2 linked regions of the Notamacropus eugenii genome follow. The protein of the gene in region 1 binds, or shares a complex with, the protein of each later gene. Links are inferred from orthologs where the notes say so. Each region holds a gene or a part of one and is shown on either strand. Other genes may lie near its edges.

Region 1 (3,905 bases):
CTCATACCAATTCTGATGTTATTACTATTTCCATTTTACAGTTGAAGAAACTGAGGCAAACTCAGTTAAGTGACTTGCCCAGGGTCACAGAGGTAGTAAATATTGAAGGCCAGGTCTTCCTGATTCCAAGTCCAGTCACTATTTATGCCATGTTGATTTGATTACTGTTTCTAGACCAAGAAGTGAGAAGGTGGGTGGGTGGATGAGTGAGGATGCTTTGGAATGGCAGAAAGAGGGTGTTAGCAACTCATAAATCCTGTCCATCAAGCCTGGGAGGAATTGCCGTCTCCAGGAGAGGAAGGAGTTCCCTGACTGGATGAAATCAGAATGCTTAATGGATTTACCCATGAGGAAACTGAGCCTTGGAGAGGCTAAAACAGCTTGGCACGGTGGAAACAACACTAATCGATCAGGTAGACAGTTTATGTTTAAATCTTCCTTCCTTTTCCACAAACGTCGTGGACAGTTCCTCCAGCCCCCTTCCCATAATCTGGCAACAACCCAGCCAACTTTTGTCTTAGTTCCCTATTGATCTAATCTCCTAGGGCTCTATTCACCAGCCTAGGAACATCTGGACCAAAGAGCCCCTCCCTGGGAGCATCAATCTTCTAGAGGGGTTGTTTACTGTATTAGAATATAAACTCCTTGAGGACAACAGGGACTAATTTTGTAAGTGTAATCCCAGCCTTTAGCTTAGTTCTGGGCACATAGAAAACAATCATCCCCCCTTCCCTCCTTCCCTTCCTTTCTTCCTTCTTTCCTCTGCTGGCTGTACTCACTTCTGTGACCTTGGTTGAGTCACCGCCTCCACGAGATAGCGGTCCCTTCTGGCTGTAGATCCAAGCCTCCATGACCTTAAGTAGACTTGGCATAAACACTGAATTAAGAAGAGAAGGCTCCCGAATCAATCTCAGGTCCTCTCATTATTCCCTAACTGCCTCTCCAGTCCGCTTTCAACCTCCACAAAGATTGATTAAGCGTTTACTATGTGCCAGGTGGAGGCTAGCCACCCCGCCCCCCCACTCCCCCTCGTGCCTGGACAGTGGTGCGGGGTCTTCAGCCCTGGTAAAATCTCTCGGATGGATTATCCACCCTTCCCGCGAGTTTACTCCGTCCTGAGAACTGCGAATACAAAGAGAGGCACAAATACAGCCCCTGCCCTCAAGGAGCTTATTTTCTAGCGGAGAGACGATGGGCACACCGCGGTCACCTACGAGATCTAGACTGCAGTGTGAATGGGAGGCGATCTCCTAGCGCCTCAGCCTGTCTCGGGAGCCCCTGAACCTCAGGGAGGGTGTCGGGGGCGGGGTGAAGCAGTCCCCTGAACTCGCCTTGGGCCGACAGAAAAAACCGGGGCCGGGGTCCTTCCCTTTAACGCAGCCCTGAGCTCTGAGAGAGGAGGGGAGGGAGAGAGGGAAGGAGGAGGAGGAGAGGAGGAGGAGGAGGAGGAGGAGGAGGAGGGGGCCGAGCAGCAGCGCCTGCGCGCGGGGGCAGCCACAGCCGAGTGGCACCGACCGGCTCGGGCTGCGTGCGCCCCCGGCCACCCCGAGCTAGCGGCCCGGCCCCAGGCAGCGGGCTCCCTGCCCCCGCTGCCCCCAGGAGTCCCGGCCCCCGCGGGGCGGGGTGGGGCGGCTGGCCCCGGCCCCGAGGCAGCGCCAGGGGCGGCTGCGGAGCGCGCCCCGGCCCGGCCTAGCCCCAGCCCCAGCCCCAGCCCCCGCCTCCGGGGACGAGAGCCTCGGGATGCGCCCCGGTGCCTCCGCGGGGCTCTGAGCGCGGGGCCCGCCCGGGCTGCCCCGAGCCGAGAGGCCGCCACCGCCCCGCAGCAGCCGCCCCGCCACGCGCCCCGCAGCTGCCCCGGCCCGGGGATCCGGGCCCCCGCCGCGCGCCCCCAGACCCCGCGGGAGGAGAGCGAGCCGAGGAGCATCCCCAGCCCTTGGCGACGGCCGCCAAGATGTCTGTGCCGGTGAGTACCGCGCCCGCCGCCGCCGCCTTTGTGCCAGGCTCTCCGGAGGGGCGGAGCGGGGAGCGAGGGGACCCCAGGAGCCGGGCTGCCGGCGCGTGCCGCCCTCCGGGGACCTGGCAGCCGGCCTGGGCAGAGCGCGCGGGGCCCTCCGGGGAGAGTGCCGCGGCTTTGAGGGGCGATCTCCCCGTGTCGCCCCGCTCCCGAAATGATCCGAGAGGGGGCTTCTTCCTCCTGCTCTGGGGGCTTTGCTTTTTTGGCTCCCGAGACCGTGAGGATGGAGAGCGGGGTGGGGAATCTAGACACCGACATGGGGCCGCCACTTGACAGCAAAATGGACAGCTAGGAGACCCGGGGAAAACTCTCCGGCCTTGCCAGATGGCTCTGCCGTCAGACTTTTCCTCCTGCTGGATAAAATTCCCCGGAAACTTTGGTTAAACTTCTCCGAGCTACTTGGTCTTTCCCCCTTCTCTCTCAGTCCCTTTCTTCCCTTCCCTTCCAGCTGCCTGGCCCCTTCTGAGTTTCCAGTTTAGGCTGGGCTTTGGTTTGGCTAATGTCTGGGTTGTCTGCCCAGTCGGTGCTGATGGTGCCAGCTGCCCTGGGCCATGAGCAGTTCTTTTCCAAGGCCGGGCCCCAGCAGGGGAGTGCTAGGGAGACACCAGATCAGCAGGTTCCTGGCCTGAGCGGGTCCCCCACTCTTGGGTTCTGTTTACTACAATGAATGGTCCTTCTCACCTTTGCCACCTGGGACAAGACTCAGTGGGCTGGGAGAGGGGAGGTGTCTACGCTTCAGGGTGATCTGGAAAACAAAATCTTGTGAGCCTGTGCATGAGTTAGGAGCTTTATGGTGGTGTGGCTGGTGGGGAAGGTTTTAATCCAAGCCAGTTCTGAGGTTTTTATTCCCCTCCTCCCCCAGGGGAGGGTTGGGGTGAGGAACGACTTTTCTCCATGGAAAGAGATCCACACCATCAGAGGCAGATATTGAAAATGAGGCCAGTGGGGGAGAAAAAAGCAAAGCTAGGGAAAGGTGATTAAATCTATTTCACAGTTCAAGGCACATCACTAACCGACCTAAGTATCATGTTTCTTTCCACTAGCAGGTAGGAAAACATTTCTCTGCTGGTCCAGTGCTCTTGAGACTTCTGTGGCAAACTTAGCTGCTCTGTAGTCTTACTTATGGAAAGCCAAGGCTCAGTTTCCCCTAATTCCTGACCCTTTTCTCCCTCTCTCAGGAGCTGCTGTCATTAGGTCTCCTTACCAGTTTGGGGAATAACTATTATGGCTCCAAGATCCAAATCCTGTCACATAAAGTAGTTTTTCTGTGGCCTCTTCCAGGGCTCAAGTCATAGGACCTTGAAGGTGTTTCTGTGGTACCTTGGGCCCAGCTGTTAGTTGCCTTACAAGGCTCCCCATAGTCACATAGCATCCCATTTTCCAGACTGGTAAACTGATAAGGCAAATTCCCACAATATTGCTCCCACAGGGGGGATTGCTCTGTGTGTTAGAGTGAAAGGACACTGAAATTCCAGTTCTGGAACATCCTTTCTTTGTGACCTTGAGCAAAATCCCTTTACCTTAATAAGGCCTGTTTCCTCATCCTTACCTTCAGGTAATACCTACAGCTTAGGTATTATGTCCAGGAAGCTTTCTCTCTTTCCTCCAGTTGTTAAGTTTTTCTCTTTCCTTCAATTACCCTGTATTTATTTATTTATCTGGGTCATGTTGTACATTACCTTAGGAGAATGTAAAACCCCTTGAAGACAAGATTTTTTTTTCTGTTCTCAGTATCTAGCAAGTAATAGGCTCTTAATTAATGTATGTTGAATTGAATCCGTGGAATGGAGGAAAGGAGGAGTGAAGAAATAAGGGTTGGACTAAGTCATCTCTAAGGGTCCCTTCCAGCTATGATGTCACAAATTTGGGCATCTCATCTGAGTCCCTAGCC
Region 2 (3,905 bases), about 230 Mb from region 1:
GGGACATTAATTCTCTCCTCTTAGGATCTGATTGGCAGGTGATTGGAAGGTCCCGGTTTTCTCCCCAGATGTTTTTCCAGGCTTAGGTTTTAGTTTCCACTAAGATGTTTGCAGTCCAGGTGCATGCAGGTGATTTTGAGAAGCAAATGGTGGAAAGTTTTCACTTCCTCATTTCTGTCCTGTTAAAGGCTGTAAGTTCCACTCTGGATGGGGAAGAAAGATTCTAAGTATGATGGAACCGATAGTCAGACCACTCCCCAGAAGGCCAGGTCACCAGGCTGGAAGTAATTTCTCCTCTCTAGGCCTCAATTTCCTTATTTGTAAAAATGAAAGACTTAAGCTAAATGATTTCTAAGGTCTCTTCCATCTTGATAACCTGGTATAATGGAAAAGTGATTGGATTTAGAGTTAAGACAGACTGGCTCTCAGTACAGGCTACCTGTGTGATCTTGGGCAAATCACTTCAATTTCCCTGGGCCTTGGTGGTCTGATCTGTAGAAGGAGAAGTTTGAAGAAAGGATTTCAAGGTTCCTCCCAGTTCTTAAATCTATGATTCTATAATTCCTAAGGACCTTTAGTTCAGGGAGTCAACCTTTTTTACATCATTGACCCTTTGACAGTATGGTGAAGCCTATGGACCCTTTCTCAAAATAATGTTTTTAAATGCATAAAATAAAATATATAGGATTACCAAGGAAATCAATGATATTAAAAATAAAGGTTTTTCTCTCTCCAAGTTCACAGACCTCCCCCCTCCCCTCCCAACTCCCCCTCCTCAAATCTAACCACAGACCCCATGGACCCTGGGTTAAGAAGTCCTGGTGTAGTGTGTGTTAATTCCCAGGAGAAGAGCCCAAGTTAGCCTTGAGAGCAGAGGCTGGGAAGGCAGAACACCTGAATTTTCATGCCATCTTAGTTAATTCTGAGAGAAAGAAGCTGTTAGTTTCCATCCTTTGAGCTTCAGATTTCTTCCCACTCAGATGAAACTGTTGATCCAAGATTCTGGCCGTCTGGTCTTTTCCCATGAATTCCCATGAGTTTGGGGAGCTTCTGAAGAGCCCCCTCCTCTTATTCCCAGGGGTTGGACACTCCACTCCCCCCCGACCCCACCCCCAACAGCAGGACCAGGCGAGCTGTAATGGCTAAGGATGCCAAAGCCAGGTTCCCAGACCCTGTGGTTACTCCTGGGTCCTTTCCAGGCCCTGAGGATGCTGCGGTCTCTTCTACTCCCTCCCCTTCTGCTGGCCCAAGCCGAGGAGGCTGCCCGGGGGAGGCAGGCAGGGGCCAGGGGCTGGAGGAAAGGTCTAACTCCCCTCCCCCCCTTCCCCTGCTGAGAGGGTGAGGAGGGTGGAGCTGTGGGAGTTTCACTCTGTTTAAAAATACACAGAGGAAGCGAGCTGAGAAAGTGAGAGAGCCAGAGAGGGGACAGGGAGAAAAAGGGGAAGGGGCTGGCCGGAGTAGGGGGGCTCCCATGAGCTGATGTGAAGACGTTCAAGAGAGGCTTCTGCTCATCTCTGCATCTCTTCTCGGCCTTCCAAAATGACGGAGACTCCCAAGAAGACAGGAAAAAAATTCAGTGAGTGTTGGGGTCTTTCTCATTCTCCCCTTTTGTTATTCAGGGAGGGGAGTTTGAGTGTGTTCAGTTCCAAACGCTACCAAGGGCTTCCCCCTGTAGTTGTTTGCATGATGTCTGCCTCCCTCCCTCCTGCAAAGACTAAGGTGGCTGTCTAGTCAGCTGCCTCATGGCCCAGGTCACAGGAGCCCAGATCTAGCACAGGAAGAGATCACAAAGGTCATCTGATCTAATTCCCTCTTTTACAGCTGAGGAAACTCAGGTTAAGTGACTTATCCAAGCTCACACTGATAATAACTGGTAGAAACTGAACCCAGGTCCTTTAGCTAACAAGCTATTTTTCTCTTGACTGTAGAGTTGGGGACTACAGAGGCAGAATGGAGAGGTAGTGGATGGCTCATGATAGCCAGGAGCCAGATTTGGGGAGAATTCTGTCATGAGCTTTTTATGGCCACTATAAACTCCTTGAGGGCAAGGAGGTAGTCTGTATCATCTCTGTATCTCAAGAGGCCTTAATATGATGTCTTGCTAGCAGTTAAGTACTTGCTCAGTAAATAATAGTTGGTTGATTGAATTTTTTAGTTCAGTGCATTTTACTAGCCGTACTCTGAGTGTCTACTCTGTGCCTAGCATGGTGCTAAATTTTGTTGGGGATATACAAATTGTTAAGACTCAGTCATGCTCTCAGAGGAGGTAGAATATATCCACAAATCACCAACTACAACCTGGGAGATGCCATAAGAGGGGTAGCAACCACCACCACCACCACCACCTCCACCAAAACAAATGGGCTTAGAGAGCTCAGAGGAGGAAGCATCCTGAATCTGGTGGGAGTGCTAGGGAAAGTTTCAGAGGGAAAGTTTCAGAGGGAAAGTTTCAGAGGGAAAGTGGCCTTTGACCTTGACCTTATAAAATATGTAGGAGACAGGGGGTAGAGGTAAAATTACAGAGACAAAGAGGATCTCCCCTCCCTTCTAAGGATATAGTAACCTTACTATAAGGTAGTAGAGGGGACTCTCCCTCCGAGCCCCAGTGCCCTCCCTGCCCAGGACTAGGTTCCTGGTCTCCTTGGTTTCCTTCAAGTCCCAGGTAAAATCAAGAAGCTCTTCCCAATTCCCCTTCATTTTCAGCCAGTGCCTTCCCTCTGGTGATTATTTCCAACTTATCCTGTATGCATCATGTTTGCATATGATTGTCTGTATGTTGTCTCCCCCATGAGATTGTGTTTTTTGTTTTTTGTTTTTGCCTTTCTTTGTAACCCCAGAGCTCAGTAGAGTGCCTGGCACACAGTAGGCACTTAAATGCTTGTGAACTGATGGTTGATCCCAGGTAGCAAGTACCTTCCCAACAGTCCCTCCCCCTCCCCCATGGTGGATGATCTCTCCCATTCCTGGGCTTGTGTAAGCCTCCAAAAGGTCATGGATGCCTAGCTTCCCCTCTGATAGACAGGACCATTAGGCTCACAGGGCCAGCCTCCCCACAAGGTCTCGCTGGACAGAATCATCAGCCTGGCGGTCATCTGATTGAAATGTGTATGTTTTTGGTGGGGAGGAGGTCAGAGACCCCTCTTCCCACTTCCCTGTAGTCTTATTGGGAGAGTTTGCCCTCCATCGGGTTAGTCACCCCTCCCCCACTTTTCTATCCACCCCTCCCCAGTTACCCTTCATCTCCTCCTCATAGAGTTCTTTACTTCCCTGATGCTGCTCACAAATACTGTCTTACTTTAAGGTCCCGATGGTCTGCCACTTCCTCTGGGAAGCCTTTCTTGATTCTCCCCAGCTATTAGCACACTTTCCATCCTGAAATAACTTTATATTTACTTTATCTCAGTCATATCCTTTCAGCAGAAAGTAAGCTCAGTCAGGGCAAGGATTTTCTTTTTTCTTTTTGTATCCCCAGCACCTAGCATATGATCTCGTGCAAAGAAATGTTTGGCAAATTGAATGAATCTACACGATAGCCTGGTAAAGAAGGCAGGACAGATCTATTTTACAGATGAGGGATTTGAGGCCCAGAGAGAAGTGATTTACTGGAGGTCAAATAGTGATCTCCTTGGTCCAGGGCTCTTTCATTCCCTCCCAACTTTTGAACACCCGAGGAGCTGGGTTGACTTGGTATAGATTGAGATGAGTGTGTATGTGTACGTATTTGGTTTGTGATGGTTTTTGGACTCAGGGTGTGGTATGGCCAGTGTCATCCCCTGCTGAAGGCCAGAGCTGGGGATATAGAGGCCTGTGAGAACTGGTCAGCTTGGGTAATTCTTGGTGCTCTAGGGACAGAAAGGAAGCAGAAAATAAGGAGCTTGCCTCTGGCCTAGATTTAGTGATGTGGT

Evidence for each region.
Region 2: the proteins of BCAR1 (region 1) and SH2D3C are in contact, whole or in part, in a crystal structure (PDB 3T6G), measured with the Homo sapiens proteins. The link is inferred for Notamacropus eugenii from reciprocal best matches to the Homo sapiens genes BCAR1 and SH2D3C. Residues at the interface, in NP_055382.2 of Homo sapiens: Ser739, Gln742, Phe746, Tyr747, Gln750, Asn754, Val779, Ser782, Lys783, Ile786, Leu787, His790, Val793, Phe794, Ile795, Asp797, Thr798, Arg801, Gln802, Ser816, Asn817, Cys820, Leu823, Arg824, Val827, Lys831; in NP_733745.1 of Homo sapiens: Thr543, Val544, Pro545, Val547, Gly616, Val617, Arg618, Glu622, Thr625, Leu626, Pro627, His628, Leu749, Leu752, Leu753, His771, Gly772, Val773, Glu774, Val776, Leu777, Leu780, Glu781, Ala783, Arg784, Ala787, His788.

Annotation. Positions count from the first base shown.
Region 1 is NC_092872.1:712,916,274-712,920,178, forward strand, and holds the start of BCAR1 (breast cancer anti-estrogen resistance protein 1), read left to right. Parts: upstream 1-1,688; 5' UTR 1,689-1,951; coding exon 1,952-1,963; intron 1,964-3,905. UniProt on the Homo sapiens protein: Docking protein which plays a central coordinating role for tyrosine kinase-based signaling related to cell adhesion. Implicated in induction of cell migration and cell branching. Involved in the BCAR3-mediated inhibition of TGFB signaling.
Region 2 is NC_092872.1:479,038,754-479,042,658, reverse strand, and holds the start of SH2D3C (SH2 domain-containing protein 3C), read left to right. Parts: upstream 1-1,389; 5' UTR 1,390-1,539; coding exon 1,540-1,576; intron 1,577-3,905. UniProt on the Homo sapiens protein: Acts as an adapter protein that mediates cell signaling pathways involved in cellular functions such as cell adhesion and migration, tissue organization, and the regulation of the immune response.